4 linked regions of the Arabidopsis thaliana genome follow. Each later gene encodes a partner of the first gene's protein in a complex. Each region holds a gene or a part of one and is shown on either strand. Other genes may lie near its edges.

Region 1 (4,424 bases):
TGTTTACAGGTATGAATTTTTGAGCTCCAAGGATCCACTGCCATGTATTTATGCTGCTAAAGCTTGAAGGCAGTAGTGGAATCACCATTAAGTTCTTTGCTTTGTAATTTAGCTTGATTTGAGAATAAACAAATGGGAAAAGCATCAGGCTTGCTTCTGTTTCTCTTGGGTTTTGGGTTCTTTGTTGTCACATATAATCTTCTGACACTTATAGTTCACAATAGATCTGGTGTGAGTAATTCAGATGGAAGTCCACTTCTGGATCCTGTTGTTCAGATGCCTCTAAATATTAGGAAAGCCAAGAGTTCTCCAGCACCTTTTCATGTTGCCTTAACAGCTACAGATGCACCTTATAATAAGTGGCAGTGTCGTATTATGTATTATTGGTATAAGCAGAAGAAAGCTCTTCCTGGTTCTGATATGGGTGGCTTCACCCGTATTTTGCATTCCGGTAATTCTGATAACTTGATGGATGAAATACCCACATTTGTGGTTGATCCTCTTCCTCCAGGTCTTGATCGGGTAAGAATTTTTATTTTATTCCCGTTTCTCCATTTGGTCTCACTTTTTGTTGATGGTTTATCACTGATTCACTCTTTTTTGTAATCTTGTAATCTTGTATTTAGGGGTATGTTGTCTTGAATAGACCATGGGCATTCGTGCAATGGCTTGAAAGAGCTACCATCAAGGAAGAGTAAGTCCTGTCATTTCTCTCTTCCTTCCAACTAACATTCTACTGTTTGCTAAATCTCCTGCATCTTACTGTTGGTGCAGCTATGTGCTCATGGCAGAGCCTGATCATGTATTTGTTAATCCCCTTCCCAATTTGGCTGTTGGAGGATTCCCAGCCGCTTTTCCGTTTTTCTATATTACTCCTGAAAAGTATGAAAACATAGTCAGAAAGTATTATCCAGCGGAGATGGGGCCAGTAACAAATATCGACCCCATTGGCAACTCTCCTGTTATCATAAGCAAGGTGAGATTATCTGTGCTATACTGTTTGTATATGTGTTATTTGACTTGGGCCCCAAAGATTTTCAGAGGCGTTTAGCTAGATGTGATGTTGGTGTCCAGGAATATGTTCTGTTTGTTCTGTTCATGCATTAAAATTGATGTTGACATGCATTTACTTTCTGATGCAGGAATCACTTGAAAAGATTGCTCCTACATGGATGAATGTCTCGCTGACAATGAAAAACGATCCAGAAACTGATAAGGCATTTGGATGGGTGCTGGAAATGTTAGCACAAGAAACAAGAATCTTAAATCATGAATTGGCTCTCCACCTTTTGAATCCCATCATTGTTAACTGACTACTTTATTCTTCTCTTTTCTGTTTGATAAGGTACGGTTACGCAATTGCATCTGCTATACATGGGGTGCGTCACATACTTCGGAAGGATTTCATGCTTCAGGTAAGAATCGACCTTGTGCTGATACCTTAGTGATAACATATTCTATGTCGAAGATACTTTTGTTTTGTCAAAGTTACAAAAGTTGTTTCTCTGCTCCATATTCCTAAGTTCTCTCACAATATCTTTCAGCCTCCGTGGGATTTGTCTACCAAGGGGAAGTTTATCATTCATTACACTTATGGATGCGACTACAACATGAAGGTGATTTTCTGTTTGACACGATTGTTTAATTTTAATTTTTGGCTGATAAATTAGGAACAGATTTCACATCTTGTGGTCATTTGTTTTTACTTAAGGTCATTAGGTTCTCTTTTTAGTCACTACTAAGTTTTGCTGACTGTTAAATACAGGGGGAGCTGACATATGGCAAAATAGGAGAGTGGCGATTCGATAAGAGATCACATTTGCGGGGTCCTCCTCCAAGGAACATGTCCTTGCCGCCTCCCGGTGTTCCCGAAAGTGTGGTATGTTATATATAAACCTCTATAATCTGATCGTGCTTAAAACAAGATACTGCAGTAAGGTCCATTCATAGCTCAAAGGGGAACTTATTTGTATCATGTCCATTGGTTTAGTGGATTCCGGAGACTAAATAGCAACGTCATACACAAATGGTCGTCCATAGTTTGATGTAGTTTGTGAATTTGCAATGGTTTTACTTTCCGGGGAGATGATATGCATAAGTCTGTTAGAAGTAGTTGTAATATCTTCAGGAGTTACGGTTTTGCTTGTGGTCAATCAAGTGTGAGAGTGAGAACCGTAATATTGAATGACTGTCCTTAATAACATATTGTGTGATGGTGCAGGTGACACTTGTGAAGATGGTGAATGAAGCTACTGCGACTATCCCTAATTGGGACACTCTCTAACTCACATCCACACACAAAACACAAACCATAGGGACAAATCCATACAGCAACAATATTTTGCCTAATTTTTTTTTCCTTCTCCCTTTACTTCCCTTCTTGTCTGTTTTTTCTTGTAATGGTTAAATTATGAACTTGAGTAGTAAATTACAAAATTATTTGTTTGACACGAGACGAGACATCTTCCATAATTCCGAGAAAGAAAATAGAATTATTTTGGGTCTAGTTATTTGATTAGTTTACCAATGGATTGCGTTCAGAATTCAGAAGCAGAGACTAAAAGACACAATGCGTTAAATTAGACGGAGTTACTAATTCCGTCTATTAACCCTTTTTTTATCCATAAATTTTATTTTCCATTTAAGAAAAATAAAAAAATAAAATTGCTTAGTGGAGGATTGTGTTGTTGTTCATCTATCTTCTTCCTCCACACAGCTAGAAACAGTCTCCTCATCTTCTGAGCAAAAAAATGGAAGTGGCTCTTCTCTCCTTCTCTTCTTCCTTGTCTCCTCTCTGTCACCAGCGAATCTCAACTCTCACACCCAAAACCTCGAATTCCCCAAATTACCCTCGCCTCCCGGTCATCAGATCCGCGGTGTCTCGTAACAAGAAGGAAGAGACTGTCGAAGCCGTCAAGTCTCACTTGGAGAACTGCCATCTCCTCGCCGCCATCAACTACAAAGGCCTCACCGTCAAGCAGTTTCAAGACCTCCGGAGAACTCTCCCCGACACTACAAAGCTCATCGTCGCCAAGAACACTTTGGTCTTCAAAGCCATTGAAGGCACCAAATGGGAAGCTCTCAAGCCTTGTATGAAAGGCATGAACGCTTGGCTTTTCGTCCAGACCGATGAAATCCCTTCTGCTATCAAACCCTACCGGAGCTTCCAGAAGGAACGCAAGCTTGAAAACAATGACTTTGCCGGCGCTGTCTTCGAAGGTAAGTTCTACGCTCCTGACAATTTCAAAGTCCTCGAGACCATGCCCACTCGTGCTGAGGTCTACGCTAAGATGCTCGGTGCTCTGCAATCTCCGGCTATTAATCTCGTCACTACTTTACAAGCACCAGCAAGAGAGGTTATAATGGTGCTTATGGCTTACATTAAGAAGTTGGAAGATGAGAGTAATGCATAGTTAAGCTTGTACTAATCTTTTGGAGAATGTAATGTACGCAACAAAAGGCAATTCAATTTTTTGTTTATGACTCTCTCAAGCACCAATTGTTATTACAGTGACTGAGTTTTATTGAAATGTTGTTTTTCGGAGTGCTCTCAAGCTATCATAACGGTCTTGTTTAGATGTACTTAGAGAGGATAGATTCAACAACTCCCTGAGCTATGGGGTGATAAGTTTCTCGAGCTTCTGCAAACACCTGTTTTGCCAGCTGCTTCTCTTCTGTTCCACCAGATTGTGCAAGAGCAGTGAAGAGTGGACGCAGGTACTTCATCCTTCCTACCTCTTTTAGTGTTTTCTTCACTTCCCCATGGTACTCTCTGCACTTGGATGTGACTGCAAGTTGCAGAAACGAGACCTTCACTTCATAGTCTTTCGATTCTGCCAGTCTGTACCGCTTGTCCAAGGCCATGACCTGATTCATCAATGAGCAAAGTGGGTGTTAGCCATAGGTTTGAACCTGATCACCAATCCTTCCTTTGTTGACTAGCATTGTCATTAACAAACAAGATAAGATCCTAACTCTTGCAAAGCCAATACACTTTCCACAATCATGAACTCTCCCAAAGCCAAGAGGGTTTTTCCACAATCATTATTCACTAGCCCCACATTAATCCAAGAGTAACTATTGAGCTAACCTAACTGACAGTTAGTTAGGCCTTTTTCTCCTCCTTATGTAAGCTTATTGAGTAGTTCAACCTAAGTCAAGCCATTTCCCATTATCTTAGAGGAAGAAATAAAGATTCACTCAGCAAGTACAGCTCCAAGTACAGCTCCCATTAACTTAGAGGAAGAAAGGAGTAAAGAGTACCTGAGAAGGTTCACATGATTTAGGAAGATTCTCCAAGTACAGCTCCCATTCCTGTCCGTTCCACTCAGCAACATCATCCTCACTTGGCATCTTTCCTTCCTTAAACTCTTTCGCCAGGGATATGATCTTTGTGTAAATGGTTGAGACTGGTTCATATGCAT
Region 2 (5,142 bases), on another chromosome or scaffold:
TATTCTGCATTTGATTAAGTCTTTGGTTTGGTTTCTTGTAGAATCAGGTTATTTGTGTTTTCTATGAATCGAAAATTGAAACAAAGTGGTTTCTTGATAGAAACAGGTTTGTTGTGTTTTATATGGATTGCAAATCGAAATAAGGTTTTCGGTATGTATAGGTTTGATGATCTGTTTGGTTGGATTCAAATTTGTTACCTTCTTAGAGGGAACATTGTATTGATCGAAATTAATGTGTATAGATGTTCGTCATTGAGGAGTCTCTGAAACTTAATGTGTAGATCGAAATTATTCTGCATTTGTGTGTCTGGCTTGAACCTTCTCATTAATGCCAGTTTATCGGCTAATTGGTTTTTGTTTGCTTCTTCAGGACAATATTTATATGACGTAGTTGGAAGTCCGTACTATGTTGCACCAGAGGTGCTAAAGAAATGTTATGGACCTGAAATAGATGTGTGGAGTGCTGGTGTTATCCTCTACATTTTACTCAGCGGTGTTCCTCCCTTCTGGGCAGGTTAGTCTACTAAAAAAGTAGAGTCTTTTCTATTTACAAGTTTCGAGTTTTTGTTTGAATGATGTATTCTTTTCTCTTGGGCATTGCAGAGACTGAGTCTGGAATCTTTAGACAGATATTGCAAGGGAAGTTAGATTTCAAATCTGACCCGTGGCCTACTATCTCAGAAGCTGCTAAAGATTTGATCTATAAAATGCTCGAAAGGAGCCCCAAGAAACGCATTTCTGCTCATGAAGCCTTGTGTATGTTCATTCTTTGTTGTTCATTTGGAATTAGCAACTGTTGTGAATTGTTTTTATGGTAAATAATGAGTATTGAGTTTGCTCTGAATGTTATATAGGTCACCCATGGATTGTCGATGAACAAGCAGCACCAGACAAGCCTCTTGATCCAGCAGTCTTATCTCGTCTAAAGCAGTTTTCTCAAATGAATAAGATTAAGAAAATGGCATTACGGGTATGAATTCGAGTAATATACATTCGCTTTTTCTTTATGTCCAATCCGTATGCTGATTTCTCTGAACACAGGTAATTGCTGAGAGACTTTCAGAGGAAGAAATTGGAGGTCTGAAGGAATTGTTCAAGATGATAGACACAGACAACAGCGGAACGATTACTTTTGAAGAGCTCAAAGCGGGTTTGAAGAGAGTCGGATCTGAACTGATGGAATCAGAAATCAAGTCTCTCATGGATGCGGTATGAAAGAACCAAAACAAACTCTTTCCTCTTTTCAAAAACTTTTGTTTCCGTTTAACATCCTCTGTGTGTTGTGGTCACAGGCTGATATCGACAACAGTGGTACAATAGACTACGGAGAATTCCTAGCAGCAACCTTACACATGAACAAGATGGAGAGAGAGGAGAATCTGGTGGCTGCATTTTCGTACTTTGACAAAGACGGAAGCGGTTATATCACCATCGATGAGCTTCAGTCAGCTTGCACAGAGTTTGGTCTATGTGATACACCTCTGGACGACATGATCAAGGAGATTGATCTTGACAATGTAAACCACTCTTCTTCTTCTTCTCTTTGTTTACCTCCTTCTTCAATGTTACTTTACTATAACCGAGAGCTTTTGAATTATGTAGGACGGGAAGATCGATTTCTCGGAGTTTACAGCAATGATGAGGAAAGGAGATGGAGTTGGGAGAAGCAGAACCATGATGAAGAACTTGAACTTCAACATTGCTGATGCTTTTGGAGTTGATGGTGAAAAATCTGATGACTGACTCATCATTCTTCCACAATTTCTGTTTTTTTTCTCTTTAATTTCGTTTATATTTTGAATTCTAATTTCTAAGGATACAAAAATATATTCTGGCTTGTTTTTTGCTTTCCTTTTTATTTTTGTACATGAGCAACTTTCTAAATTTTTATCCTCATATGGATAATTTTTGCTTCATATAAAAGTTTTTGAATTCCAAAGAAATGTGATTTAGGGATGGCGAAAAGAAACCGAACCGAACCAAAATCGGATTTCATAAGTAATTTTGTTATAATACAAACTGTGAAACTGTAGAAAATTCTTATAACAACCCAAACCAAATCTAAATTCTTATAACAACCCAGACCAAATCTCAAATTGAAACCAAATTTGGTGAATTTGTAATTAACCAATATTCAGAATTAATATAACTAATTAAATATAAAGTACATTTAAATACACTAAACACTATAAAGAGATTAAGAGTAGTTAGAATTATAATTTTTGTCAAAAATCGAACAAAACCAAAATTGATGTGTATATAATATATTACTTAATTGGAAAACCCAAAATCTGAACCGAAATAAACCGGTAAACCGAAATTGCAAGCTTAGAAATTAAACCAATTTGAAGACAGGGGTACAATGGTAATTTTCAAAGGAAGTGGATAGGATAACACTGCGGATTTATTCTCCGTCGAGCTCCAAAGTCTCGAGCTTAGAGCTCTCTCTCAGTCGAAAACAATGGCGTCTTCTTCAGCGACGCTCTCTCTCTGCTCTACTTTCTCTGCTCATTGCAATGTCAATTCTCGCCGTTCTAGCACTATCCTCTGTTCTCTCTCTAAACCTTCGCTTAATTTGGCTAAACCTCTGACTGGATTTCTTTCTCCTTCCACTGCGTCGACGTCTCGAACCGCATTCACCGTCGCTCCGAAATTCGCGGAATCAGTCGTCGAAGCTGAACCGGAGACTACCGATATCGAAGCTGTGGTGGTTTCCGATGTTTCGGAGGTTACTGAGGAAAAAGCTAAACGAGAAGAGATTTTCGCTGTTATTATGGTGAGCTTGTTGAATCATACGAAACAACAAATTCTCAATTTCGGTGTTTAGCTTTTGGAATTCGGAATTAGGTTTGGTTGATTGATGAATTTGATTTTAGAGTTTTGATAATGAGAGACTGTGTTTTTGTGGTATCTACTCTTAAGATTTAGGGTTTAGGTTTAACGAATGTTGACTTCTTAAGGGAGAGATTGTGTTTTTGTGGCATATACTCTTCAAGGTTTAGAGTTTGGCTTTGTTATAATTGATTTTGTTTCTCTCATTTGCAATCTCTGATTTAGCTTAGTGTTGTTCTCTTTGGTTTGAATAGGTTGGTGGACGCCAATACATAGTGTTTCCAGGGAGATATCTCTACACTCAGAGGCTAAAAGATGCAAATGTTGATGACCAGGTATATGCACATTTGCTTTCAATGACTATGTGATGTGTTCTTCTTTGTAAAAAACTCTGTGTACGAAATGGTATATCTGTGAAAAGATGATGTAACTATGGAAGATTGAGTAAACTTTGTGGCTTGTGTAGAAGTTCTATTCTTTTGCCTATGTTAACATTGTGTTAAGCTGTTCTCTGTTGCATTTTTGGTGATTCCTGAAGTTTTCATATTTTGTTTTTTCTCTTGTGCAGATTGTTCTCAACAAAGTGTTGCTTGTTGGAACAAAGACACACACTTACATTGGCAAGCCGGTTGTGACCAATGCCACTGTACATGCTGTTGTGGAAAGTCAAGTAAGTCAATACAAACGATTTCTTAAATTTCTGATTGGTGGTTTTGTATTTTCGACTATGTAGTCGCCTCTAAACTTGGAATAACCGGAATGTCATTTGTTGTTGTAGGGTTTGAATGATAAAGTGGTAGTCTTCAAGTACAAGCCTAAGAAGAAGTACCGTAGAAATATCGGTCACAGACAGGTATTGCTGAAAGTCCTCTTCCTTATATTTGAACTATGTAATGTTACAATCAACAGACTACTATCAGTTACTTGTTGTAATTTGCTATGGCTGATGAAACTGAAATCTCTTTGAAGTAATGACACTTATGTTGTGACTTATGTGTTGATATTGTAGCCGAATACGAGGATTAGGATTACCGGAATCACAGGGTATGAAGAGTATCCAGCCTCGCCCAATGTTGCAGTTGGAGAAGTAAATCTTTGACACAAAATGTTTCTTGAATGTTAAAATTTTTCTGATCTTCTCTATGTAATTTTGTAAGGACCCTGGTCATTTCATTTCTGCTGAGATTCCTTTTATTAATATGTACCTTTTGCCATTCTTTGATCACAAATTCTAAGTTAGTGTATGAAAACTTCAATATAGCTCATCCATCAATCTACGCATACTAATGAATTTTATAGAATAAAACAACTTCTACCACTTCAGTGGACACAATACAGAAATACAGAAATTGATATTGAGATTTTGAAAATGGACGGGACCGTCCATAACATTTTTCCGTCCGCAAAGGCACAAACACATGAAAGACATTATGGTGTTTTTTGATATGTTTTTGACAAAATTTTGATATGTTGTTGCGATTTTCTAGTAAAAGACATTATGTGCACCAATAGTGTGAGATGTATTATGGTGATTTTCTGATGAGGAATTGAGAAATGAGTTTTTTTTATTATATATATGCAAAAGATAGATTGTCTCCGATTATTAGTTTGGTTGTATACATGTTGGGTTGTAACTTTTCACTTCAGTGGCACAACATGTGAAGGCTATATACATGTTGGGTTGTAATTTTTTGCTTTCTTACTCTTGTGGTTGATTAGGTCCGAGTTTGGTTTACTAGTTTTGCAAACCTTTTTTTTTTTAAGTTTGGTGCAACAAAACCCTTTACCAAAAATATATAGGTTAAGATAATTTATAAATAACTAAATAATGACTACTTGACTATTAAAAATATATGCTTTAAAATAGAGTAAAATATATATTCATTTAGTTTATGAGATTCCAGTTTACTTTCTAACTTAAATTTCAGAGATTTCATAATATTTTCGATATTTTTCTTGTCCTTTTAAATATAATATTAGTCTTCAAAATAATGTTATTATATAGACTAGGTTTAAAATCTGAGAAATGATTATTAAATAGTAAAATAAATAAACAGCTTAATTTTATTAACAGAACCTTTTTTATCAGCCAGTTGGCAAATGAAAATATGAAAAAATTTCCATGCTGGCTACTATTTTTAATTAATTTTTACAGAAATTTATTTAAATTTCTTTAAAAGCAACTAAATGCTAAATTTATCTATTACTAACTAGATATTGACCCGCGGTATACCACGGGTTGATTATTTACGTTAGAAATTATATTATTTTTTTAATTCTATATCATCTATATTTAAATAATCAAGTTAT
Region 3 (5,625 bases), on another chromosome or scaffold:
TTCGCAGATTTCACTTCACTAGCACGTGGTGATGCTTTTATGTGTTTTGCCCTGTACAGTAAATGGAAGCAAACATCTCTCTTAAACACGTTCAATAACGTAACACATGGAGCAAGAAACCGTTACTGTGCTCTGAGATGCATACCTCATGCCAAACCTGAGAGTTGAGAGCGTCTCAGATGCATTTAAAGTGCTTGGTGAGCAACAGCAAAGCAGCGCCATTCGAGAATTTCCACCCTGTGGCATGAGAGACCACAATAGAATTGAGAACAAGCTAGAAAATTATAAAATAAAATCAACCTGAGAAGATATACTAACCAGGGCATCCTGTAAGATGCGAGTAAGCTTGGAGTCACGATATGGTATGTGATTCCCTTTGCTAGATGGCCCACTAGTGAGAGCGTTTATCACGTTCCCCAAGGCTGAGAGCGATTTATTGATCGTCTTCGCTTCTTCAAGAACCCTACCTTCTGCTCCAGTTTTGTCTGCTTTCTCTGAGCCAGCCAGGTCGACAAGAATCAGTTTTCCTGTTTTTACCCTGTTCACATGCCAGATATGTATATAAGCTCCACCACTACAGCATCACTTTTTTCTGATTAATTGTAAAAAATCGTTACCTTTTATCTTTAACTGAATCCTGCTGGATTGTGAACAAGTAGGCGCAGTGGCTTCTACTGCTGGACATATTCATTTCTGTCATTCATTGTTAAACTGGAAACATTCTTCAAGATGACTCTCAATCAGTTTTAACCTTTCAGTCAACTCGGAGTAGCATAATCATAATCTCACTATCGACTAAATGGGGAAACATTGAACAAGTAAGTGCTGTAAAAGCTAAGAGGATACGGGTTTCCCCAACTGCGCGGTTAGCTAAACCGGTCTGAAATGGCAATTGGCATCAGAAATAAGAAAGAAGAAGGCCGTATAAGGCAATTAAGAAACTTAGGGTAGCTGCTATCTTACGCATAGATGTTGTAATGCCTCCACCGAATCTGATACAGGCACCTGAAGCAACGAATGATTAAAACTTGCCTACCCAGTAAAGATTTTTCTCAACACTAGCAAATAGAAGATATAAGACAATGAAGCTAGCCTCTGTAACGCCTGACAAGAGTATTCCTTGTGTTTTGTTCTCCTTGATCTGTATGTTTGCTTTTGATAAGTCCAACAGGTCCCTGAGAGATATATGAATTTATCGATAAGCTATATACCCTAGAAGAAATCAGAGGGAATTACATACACAATACCTGACTTTCTCCATGTAGATCTCAACCTAGAGGAGACAAAAGACACGTAAGATGTCTATACAGGAGAGCTTGAAAGGAGACTTATAGCAAGTGCATTTAAGTCAGTACCATAGACAATTTAACAGTGTATCTTGCAATATCATTGGAAGAGCTGATTTGCTCAAACATCCCATGGACCACTCTTGGAAGAAGTCCTTTATTGTGCTCATCACAGTCCTGGATGCCTGGTCCCTGAATCAATCGAAGAAAACCAAAATGAGCCAGAAGAAGGAATGGTCCTTGTGCTACAGGAAGAGGTATCAAGATGAGTTAGGTGACCTCCATGGAATAAGTCTTCCCAGCCCCTGTCTGCATAGTATAACATGAAACGATCAAATTGAGATCAAAATCTGCCAAATTAAGAAAAAGACATTGAAAGCATTTCCAGATAAAAGAGATCAGGAGAAGAACAAACCTGTCCATAAGTGATGATTGTTCCGTTTATACCATTTACAGCGTCTGAAAGTAGTAGTAGTAGTACAAAGGTAAAAGATGCAAAAGACAAAGGTAGGAGGAAACCAAAACCAAAAATGTTGATTACATTGTAAAATCATAAGATTGGTGCTCAAATGTTTAGATCTAAAATCCAGAAGAGAAGATCAAGGAATCAATTAGTACCTCTCATGATGGGGAGAGCCAGAAACTCATAAACCGCAGCTTGGGTAGAGTCCTCATAAAAAACTCTATCGAGGCTAAATGTAAATTCATCTTCCTTGTCATCCTACACGCAAGTAAAAACGCTAGATAGAGTTTGAGAGACAGAGAGAGAGAGACAATATTAATCAAGCACACGGCGTCGAGTAGACAAACTTGGAAAACGAAGGTTTCAGCGTCGATGGGTCGAGCACAGACACCATCTCTGCTGGGATCGCGCATCTCTTTAGAGCTTCGCGGCCTGAATCGCGCACAGACGGTTACGTTAGACATCTCCTCTCCTTATCGGAACGAGCTCAGTCTACAGTGAAACACCCAAAATGAGTCAGCAGAAGATGAATGAAATTGGGGAAATAGTAGCACAGGAAATTTGAAGCTGAGAGAAAAGGAATCGGAACTTACCTCTCAAATGGAGTGGAGAGTCAGAGTAGGGTTTCTCTTACGGGCGGGAAAGAAGAAACTCGAAATCTGATTTTTGAGAAAAGAGAAGGAAGAAGAAGAAGGAGAAGGAGAAGAGGTCACGAGGATACGCGTGTGGGTTGTTAAAAGATCTAATGGTCCATAAGAAGACACGTGTCACTAGGAACACGGTAGCTAAGGTGCCCGCCACGCAGAGAATAATAGCTTAGAAAGAATAGGGGGTGTTGTTATCCCCTTGGGCGTGGAGTGGATTAGGGAGACTCGCACTCTTCTTCTTCTTCTTTGTACCCAGAAAGAAAGAGAGCTCCAACAATGGCTGCTTGCGCTACTCACTCCTCTCTCATGCTAGCATACGCCGCCGCATCCACTCGTTCCCAGGACCTTACCCCTACTCCATCTCTTTTCTCTTTTGCCAGCTCCAGACCCAACCACTTGAGCTTCCCGCTTCTTCTCCTTGGGGGTTCCAGGGACCGGAGATGTGCTGCTATTGACAGAGCTTCCAACCACAAGTTTATTGTCTCCGCCGTGGCCGCTGAGGCTGACCTCGACACGGAGGAGGACCTGGAGCAGACCGCCACCGCCGTCCTTGATCCGCCCAAGCCTAAGAAAGGAAAAGCCGCTTTGGTTCTCAAGAGAGATAGAGTATGTGCTTTACCTACTTCAATTTCGCTTCCTTTACTCGTGAATCATCACTTTGTTTGCTTACCCATTGACAGACAAGGTCTAAGAGGTTTTTGGAAATCCAAAAGCTAAGGGAAACCAAAAAGGAGTATGATGTCAACACTGCTATCTCTTTGCTTAAACAAACTGCCAACACAAGGTTTGTTGAGTCTGTTGAAGCCCATTTCCGTCTCAACATCGATCCTAAGTACAATGACCAGCAGCTGCGTGCAACGGTCTGCTTTGCCTTTTGCTGGATATACACTCTATCTTGTGCTGCTTCATTCCACAACATTTTTTAATCTCAATGCATTGTCTTTTTGTATAGGTGAGCCTGCCTAAGGGAACTGGCCAGACTGTTATAGTCGCTGTTCTTGCACAAGGTATATTGCCCCACCAAATTCACTGCTAGGACTTAGGACAGAGATTATGCTTTACCATTTCAGTCACCAAATTCACTGTTAGGACTTAGGACAGAGATAATGTTTACGGTATCAGTCAGTCAGTCAGTACTTCTCTAGATGCAACATTGTTTGGTGCGATTGACTTTTTATTTATATATTGATTGGATGGAGTTCTTGTGTATCATGTGGCTTATTCTTTCTAAATCTTTGGCTTGCACCATTTCCATGCTGAACTTCCAGGTGAGAAGGTTGATGAAGCCAAAAGTGCAGGGGCAGATATTGTGGGCAGTGATGATTTAATCGAACAGATTAAAGGAGGCTTCATGGAGTTTGACAAGCTGATTGCATCCCCGGATATGATGGTCAAGGTATGTGTTGATGATATAATGTTCTACTTGTTACAGCATATGAAACCGTCATGCTTGGCAAATAAGGTGGCATGAGATACTTGTAACTCGTGATCTATTTTCTAACATTCTTGAACTTGGCGCTTAGGTTGCTGGCCTGGGAAAGATTCTTGGACCACGGGGGCTCATGCCAAATCCCAAGGCTGGTACAGTCACAGCGAACATTCCCCAGGTAAGCCTACTCTGCAACATCTTTTCCTGATTCTGGTAGTCATGGCTTAAAGATGCATAAATCTCTCAGGCTATTGAAGAGTTCAAGAAGGGGAAAGTTGAATTCAGAGCAGACAAAACTGGGATTGTTCACATTCCATTTGGGAAAGTTAATTTTACAGAGGAAGACCTTCTCATAAACTTCCTTGCAGCAGTGGTAGGCTAATTCTCCATTCTTATTACGTATTTCTGTGGTTTAAAATACAAAAAAAAATGAAGAGGGAAAAGTAAATGATGAAATGCAGAAATCGGTGGAGACAAACAAGCCAAAGGGAGCTAAAGGAGTGTACTGGAAAAGCGCTCACATATGCTCGTCAATGGGGCCTTCCATCAAGTTGAACATAAGAGAGATGATAGACTTCAAGCCTCCCACTGCGAACTAATCGACAACGCCATTTGTAAATGGGGTCCTTTTGGGAGACGGGCAATGCCAGTGTAGACAGAGAAGAGAAACACCAAGTCTAGTCTGTTAGTAATCTTTTCACGCCTCACTGCTTTGTATCACTTTGATGGCCATTTGCTTCTTGTCGTTATTTATTTACTATTGCCTATTAAAATTTGGCAAGGGGCTGTACATGTCAGGACGCAGAACTCTTTAGTACTCTCTAAAAGAAAAGACCTTACATTGATCTTTAGGTTACATACGAGGAGGAGGTTTCTGTGTACATTACATGTGATTTACTACTACAAATATTACAAGGCCAGACTCTGCTTCGTCATTTCCATTTTGGTGAGAAGCCCTCTCATCTCTTCCTCCATTCTCATCTTCATTTCATAAAACTCTCTCTGCCCTCTCTGCATTGCCTCTAACTCCTCGTACCTCCTCCTCCTTCTCTCCTGTGCATCCTCCATACTCAACTTCCCCATTCTCCGATTGTACTCTTCTTCTATCTTCTCCTTCTTCGCTATTGCTATTCGTTTCAGTCCCTCTGCTTCTCTTCGTGCATCATCGGCCCGCCCTTGGAACATTTCTGCCTCTGCTTGCTTCATTCTCACAATGCTCTCTAGCTCTTCGAAACGAGGTTCCTTTGGTGAACCCCTTTCCAACTCCATCTCCACTGCACATATTTCAACTTGCCTCTCTCTGTGGAATGCATCAGCTACGCTCGCTGACCTTTTCAGCTGATTATGCGGGTTATCTGAGCACACCGATCTCAGCCACGCCGTGTCCTGACTAGGGCTTCCCCTCTCATGCCTGGGTTTTGGCTGTTCGTATATGAACGGTGCACTAGTTTCAGCAGGAGTGGAGGAATCACAGTCTGCAATCAACAGGCAAAGTATCGACAGATTGTTACAAGGAATATCTATGGCACATATATCACAAGAATTTAACCAACATGTGTTCACTGTGTGATCATCTATACTAAAACAGACTAATAAAGCCATATTTGATACCCAGATAAAGCTCACAATTTATACAATTTCGCGCACCTGAAATGAAACCCAATATGCGATTGCAAGCTTCAGGAAGGCCTATCAATTTACTTTTCAAACTTGCCAGCATCGCATCAGCAGCTTGTCTCAGCTGTTTCCCTCTAGAGTCTTTGCTTGATGAAAATATTTTATTGACATACTCCAGTTCCT
Region 4 (5,171 bases), on another chromosome or scaffold:
GTATCTCTTGATAAGTATAAACGATCGCCACTGTGTTGTGAGGCAAGCCTTGCTTTGAAGCCGAGTGAGAAACAAGTTAAGGAATGGGAAGAGGCTCGTTGTCCTGTTTGTATGGAACATCCTCACAATGGGATTCTTCTCATTTGTTCTTCTTATGAAAATGGTTGTCGACCTTACATGTGCGACACTAGCCATCGGCATTCTAACTGTTTCGATCAGTTCCGCAAAGCTTCTAAAGAGAAACCTTCTTTGTCTTTACTTCGTGAGGAAGAGGAAAGTAATGAACCAACTGAGATGGAAGATGTGGATTCAGACTCAACTGCTGTAAATCTATTAGGAGAAGCTGCATCTGAGATAACAGTTGTGGATTTAAGTGATGGTGAGAGAGGAGAAGAAGAAGTAGAAGAAGAAGAAGAAGAAGTAGTAGTAGAAGAAGAAGAAGAAGGAATTGTAACAACAGAAGAAGATCAAGAAAAAAACAAACCACAAAAGCTTACTTGTCCGTTATGTCGTGGACATATAAAAGAATGGGTAGTTGTTAAAGCAGCTCGATGTTTCATGAACTCAAAACATAGAAGCTGTTCTTGTGAGACTTGTGATTTCAGTGGAAGCTATTCCGATCTGAGAAAGCACGCAAGGCTTCTACATCCAGGAGTTAGGCCATCAGAAGCAGATCCAGAGAGACAGAGAAGCTGGAGGAGGCTAGAAAGGCAGAGCGATTTAGGGGATTTACTTAGCACACTCCAATCTTCTTTTGGAGGAGATGAAATAAGTAACGATGATGGGTTTCTATTTGCTGATACTCGCTTGCTTACAGTGTACTTTCTCATCCGCGTGTTTAGACCAGAATCGAGTGGCTCAAGGAGTAGTAGCTGGTCTGGTACATCTAGAGCTAGGACACATACAAGTGGGAGAAGAAGATCTTCAAGACCTGCAAGTCTTTGGGGAGAGAGCTATGAAGGTAATACAGGAACATCACCTAGAGATGAGGAGAATAATCAATCTTCTGATGAACAAGTGTCTGGAACTCGGAGACGTCGTTCTAGAAGAAGAACTGTCATTGATGATGATGATGAAGAAGAAGAACCGTGATGCTCTGCAGTTTGGAAATTTGGTCTTTGGAGTTTATGATAAAATGGGGGAAACCTTGTAGTAATAACCCCACTTATGAAACCCTATTATGTAAAATTTCTTTGGAGATTGAAAAAAGTTTCTACTATTGGGAAACAAAATGTTCAATATTTCATTACCGTTTAAATATCTTTTTGATAATGACTCTTCAAACAACAAAATGTAAATCTCTTCACCATACAAAAAGACAAAGGAATTGTAATTAACATTTGTCATAGACAATTATCTTCTCTGCAGCTTTACAACACTAAAAAGAGCTTGAAACTGAAGTAATTTAAGCAGAGGCTGCTGGCTCTGAAGTTGCTGCTTCTGCTGCTGCAGCTCTCTTCTTGGCAAAGTATTCATCTGCTCGTGCTTGGTTCTTTGCAACAGATGGCTTAACCCATTTCTTTCTTCCCGGCAACACAGTGAGTGTACAACCTGAAGCTTCAAGCTTCTCTTTTGCTTGTGTTGAGAAGGCACGAGCTTTGAAGGTGAGCTTCATGCTTAGTTCTCCTGTACCCAGAATCTGAAATCCAAGACCAATCAAAACGTTTAAATAAAGAAAGAAAAGACGAAAGCACAATCGAAAGAAGTAGGATCAACAAGTTTGGAAAACTAACCTTAAGAGGGAGTTTCCTTTCTCTCCCTGAAGGATTAATCAAACCCTTTTGCTTCAATGTCTCCAATGACACTTCATCTCCCTCTTGAAACCCAGCTGTTTCTATGTCTTTGATATTAACCGGTAAGTATTTAGGTAATCCTGAACGCATACCTGTTTAAAGAACACAGTAACGCAACGATGCATCAGAAATATATCTCTATTGGTTTGAGCTAATTAGCAAAATCGAACCATGAAATATCTCTATTCACTAACTACAATCTTGATCCATAGTTGTCAATTCATGGCTCTCTTACCCAATATTAAATCTATGAAACAAATGTGCCCTAACTAAATAAAACTGAAAGCAGCATCACCAAATTTAAACAGAGCCTTTTGGATGAGACATTTCATCGAACATTTGGGCTACACAAAACTTGGATACCAAACAAAAACAAAACTTTACCTCCAGCGATTCCTCTAAGTTTGGGAAGACGACGATAAAGAGCAGTTTGACCACCTTCAAAGCCTCTCATAATCCCAGGACCCGATCTTGATTTCTGACCTCTCATACCAAAACCACAACTTGCTCCTTGTCCTGCAGAGATACCTCTACCTTTTCTCTTCTGCTTCTTCCTCGAACCTGGCTGTGGTCCAAGATTATCCAAACGGAATCTCTCCGGAGCTACAACTGCCGACGACGTAGCCGCCGTTTGGCTAACCACAACAAGGGGTCTCGCAAATTGCTGTTGGTTTCTCGTTTTAAGGGTTTGGTTGAGTTTCAGAGATAGAATCTGACTTGGGTTTGCCCCCAAAACACTTACATTTCCCTGTACACATTTCAAATTCCAATTTTACGGATTCATTCAAAATTGACATTTGTAGAAGAATGAGAGATTACCTTGAATGAAGTAGAAGATAAGTGGAGACGGTAACAATGGCGGGAGGTGAGAGGATTTGATGAGATTGAGAGTGGAGTAGCCATGGTCACAGGGAACAACAGATGAAACAAAGCTTCAAGGATAAGGTTGAGGAAGATAGATAGAGAGAGATAACTTTCTTGAGAAACTTAAGAGTTAAACGACATCGTCTTACATAATCACTTAATTGTTTATTGGGCCTTTCACAGCAAATTTAGGCCTTTTCGTTTTCAATAAAAGAGTCGTTACTCGTTCGTATCAATTCGTTTGTGTCCAAAGTGGGTTTTCAGATAAGCTCATGTCTGAATTAGTCGGGATGATCAAGACACCAGTGCCAATAAAAGAAACGATAAGAAATTATAGTATTTATACTAACTTGATATATATAAACACAAATATTTATACACATAACACAATTATAAGTTCAAACTACAACCCCAAATCAACACCTGAAACTACAACCCCAAATCATTACACAATCTCAATTAACCACATAGAAAATTATATATATTGGTGAATTTTGTAACTTCCTTAATCTTTAATCTTTGCGAAGTCTTTTCTTCACGACAAGAAGAGAACAATCTGTATTTTGTGTACACCTGCATTTAATTAAAAGATGTTTGTTATCTCAACTTTTCCATCAATACTAAGTTTTTTAACTGATATTTTGAAATTAAAAGATGTTTCTTACTTTTTGAGACTTTGTTGATCGCTCGTAACTATTAAATTGATATTTCGTTCTTGAATTATCTTGCGGATTAGATCTTTAGGGTCTCCATCATCAGTAAATGTCTCTGCCTTGATCTGTTTTCAACATGATTATGATGAGATCATGAGACTAAAATATTGCAACAAATGGTTGTCATGAAAAGAACTTCATTTTTTTCTTTTAAAACTTTGGTATTTAAAAATATATATATGATATTGTATTAATAACAAGTTAAATGATTCAGTCAATAGATTATTACCCCATGATTTAAACATATCTTCTTGGCTTTCTCTAATATACCCAAAGCAATTTTCATATTCTTTTCTTGAGCCAATCTTATGAGTTCTGAATCTGCAAAACACACATAAAAACTGATCAATTTTCAACAAAAGAAAGTACTAGGTGAAAATGGATAGAAAATTTGATATTTATTGAAAACTCCCAACAAATTAGTCGATAAAATGACTTACTAGGTGAAAATGGATAGAAAATTTGAGCAAAGCCGACTGATGAAGAAAGTACGGTAGGAGGAGTAAAGGAATTTTGTGGCTGTTTTGCAAAGATATAAACTTTGGAGCTCTCAATGGTATCTTTTTGGTTTTCAAGTGCCCAAATGAGTAAATCATAACTTGCGTTGCTCTCGTCAATAATCAGCATAACATTCTTCATCTTCTCTCTTTGTTTCTTCTTCTCCTTTCTTCTTCTAGCTTCTGCTAAAACCTCTTGTCAATGTGCAACTTTATAGTATATTTGGAAGTGGATTAACTTGTCAAAGGAAGTAATATAAAAAAAAATCTTAGGTGATTGGGTAATTGAAAGGCATGGGTTAACGACTTGATTCTGGCTTCTTCTCGTTTGCAAAATAAAATAAAATTATACACACAAGTAATACTATATTAAACCCGTGTGTAGTGGCAAAGTAGGTTTGGATTAGAACCAAAAGCGTAAAATCGCTATAACTTCAAGTTCAATCCCACAATATGCAATCATTTAAAGAAATTACATAACGATTTATAGTGATTTAATCTCCATGTTATATCACTTGATCATTTAGATTTCGGTTCAGATTCTGCTTAACTTGTGATGAGTTTGCGGAAAACGTTTTACTGAAATTTTCAAAAGACTAGTCATATGCTTATTCAAATTAGGATAGAGACAATGCTAAGTCTAACAAAAAAACATTTGTATATCAAAAAAGAAAACAATCGAATAATATGATCTCATTCTACAACATATTACCAATTCTCCATTGAAATATTCCATTAATAAAATGGTGTGAGTGGACCGGTGTTTGGTAACTGCCGGATACACGCCATTGATGACATAAAACATTATTCTCTTTGTCGGAATTTTTAATCATAATTAAATATCATTAGAGAGAGTTGGTAAAAGAAAAGACATAATTAGCTAAACGGGCTAAAATGAAAAGTTAATGGGCCAAACAGACATATATCCAGCCCATTATAATCTCTGCATCTCCTACCTCTGAATCCCAAAAACCCTAGCGATTTTTTTCTTCTCTCCCGAGACGCTCTGTGATAGCGAAAGCATCTGTTGTAATCTAAGGTACTCGATGATTCTCCTTTTCCATTTTAGTTCTCATTTGAAGTATATAGAACTGTAAAAATTTGTTAAAGTTATAATTTTGGGTTTTAACGGAATTTAAAGTCTCGAACTTTCGATTCTGAGTATGATTTTGATGCTCATAGTACTACTCTTGAAATTTTAGATGATGTTAATGGAGATATTTAGCTTAAAGATGCTTACTTTACTCATCTGTTGAGCATAGGATCGTCTTAATCTTTTTACTCATTACTTGTAAATTTCTTCA

The links.
Region 2: EMB3136 (region 1) and RPL21C share a complex: the UniProt entries of both Arabidopsis thaliana proteins name them as parts of the 50S ribosomal subunit.
Region 3: EMB3136 (region 1) and EMB3126 share a complex: the UniProt entries of both Arabidopsis thaliana proteins name them as parts of the 50S ribosomal subunit.
Region 4: EMB3136 (region 1) and RPL15 share a complex: the UniProt entries of both Arabidopsis thaliana proteins name them as parts of the 50S ribosomal subunit.

What each region holds. Positions count from the first base shown.
Region 1 is NC_003076.8:4,338,544-4,342,967, forward strand, and holds EMB3136 (Ribosomal protein L10 family protein), read left to right. Parts: upstream 1-2,718; 5' UTR 2,719-2,750; coding exon 2,751-3,413; 3' UTR 3,414-3,552; downstream 3,553-4,424. Other genes in the region: AT5G13500 (Hyp O-arabinosyltransferase-like protein), read left to right, coding at 133-522, 627-694, 775-976, 1,143-1,240, 1,346-1,415, 1,545-1,616, 1,766-1,879, 2,222-2,284; AT5G13520 (peptidase M1 family protein), read right to left, coding at 3,574-3,867, 4,264-4,424. UniProt on the Arabidopsis thaliana protein: This protein binds directly to 23S ribosomal RNA.
Region 2 is NC_003070.9:13,206,316-13,211,457, forward strand, and holds RPL21C (Ribosomal protein L21), read left to right. Parts: upstream 1-2,367; 5' UTR 2,368-2,461; coding exon 2,462-2,776; intron 2,777-3,086; coding exon 3,087-3,167; intron 3,168-3,400; coding exon 3,401-3,502; intron 3,503-3,610; coding exon 3,611-3,685; intron 3,686-3,841; coding exon 3,842-3,931; 3' UTR 3,932-4,113; downstream 4,114-5,142. Other genes in the region: CDPK2 (calcium-dependent protein kinase 2), read left to right, coding at 371-514, 604-756, 855-970, 1,042-1,209, 1,293-1,517, 1,603-1,743. UniProt on the Arabidopsis thaliana protein: This protein binds to 23S ribosomal RNA in the presence of protein L20.
Region 3 is NC_003074.8:23,441,597-23,447,221, forward strand, and holds EMB3126 (Ribosomal protein L1p/L10e family), read left to right. Parts: upstream 1-2,606; 5' UTR 2,607-2,672; coding exon 2,673-3,002; intron 3,003-3,076; coding exon 3,077-3,256; intron 3,257-3,348; coding exon 3,349-3,403; exon of another isoform or gene 3,404-3,664; coding exon 3,665-3,792; intron 3,793-3,919; coding exon 3,920-4,003; intron 4,004-4,072; coding exon 4,073-4,198; intron 4,199-4,286; coding exon 4,287-4,424; 3' UTR 4,425-4,734; downstream 4,735-5,625. Other genes in the region: AT3G63480 (ATP binding microtubule motor family protein), read right to left, coding at 1-51, 146-237, 319-538, 618-693, 847-880, 964-1,005, 1,082-1,175, 1,248-1,273 and 5 more; TTA2 (fibronectin type III domain protein (DUF1423)), read right to left, coding at 4,735-5,300, 5,473-5,625. UniProt on the Arabidopsis thaliana protein: This protein binds directly to 23S ribosomal RNA.
Region 4 is NC_003074.8:9,489,863-9,495,033, forward strand, and holds RPL15 (ribosomal protein L15), read right to left. Parts: upstream 2,794-5,171; 5' UTR 2,697-2,793; coding exon 2,613-2,696; intron 2,542-2,612; coding exon 2,178-2,541; intron 1,886-2,177; coding exon 1,734-1,885; intron 1,640-1,733; coding exon 1,406-1,639; 3' UTR 1,193-1,405; downstream 1-1,192. Other genes in the region: AT3G25910 (MAP kinase kinase kinase, putative (DUF1644)), read left to right, coding at 1-1,092; AT3G25930 (Adenine nucleotide alpha hydrolases-like superfamily protein), read right to left, coding at 3,170-3,230, 3,323-3,435, 3,600-3,691, 3,811-4,009.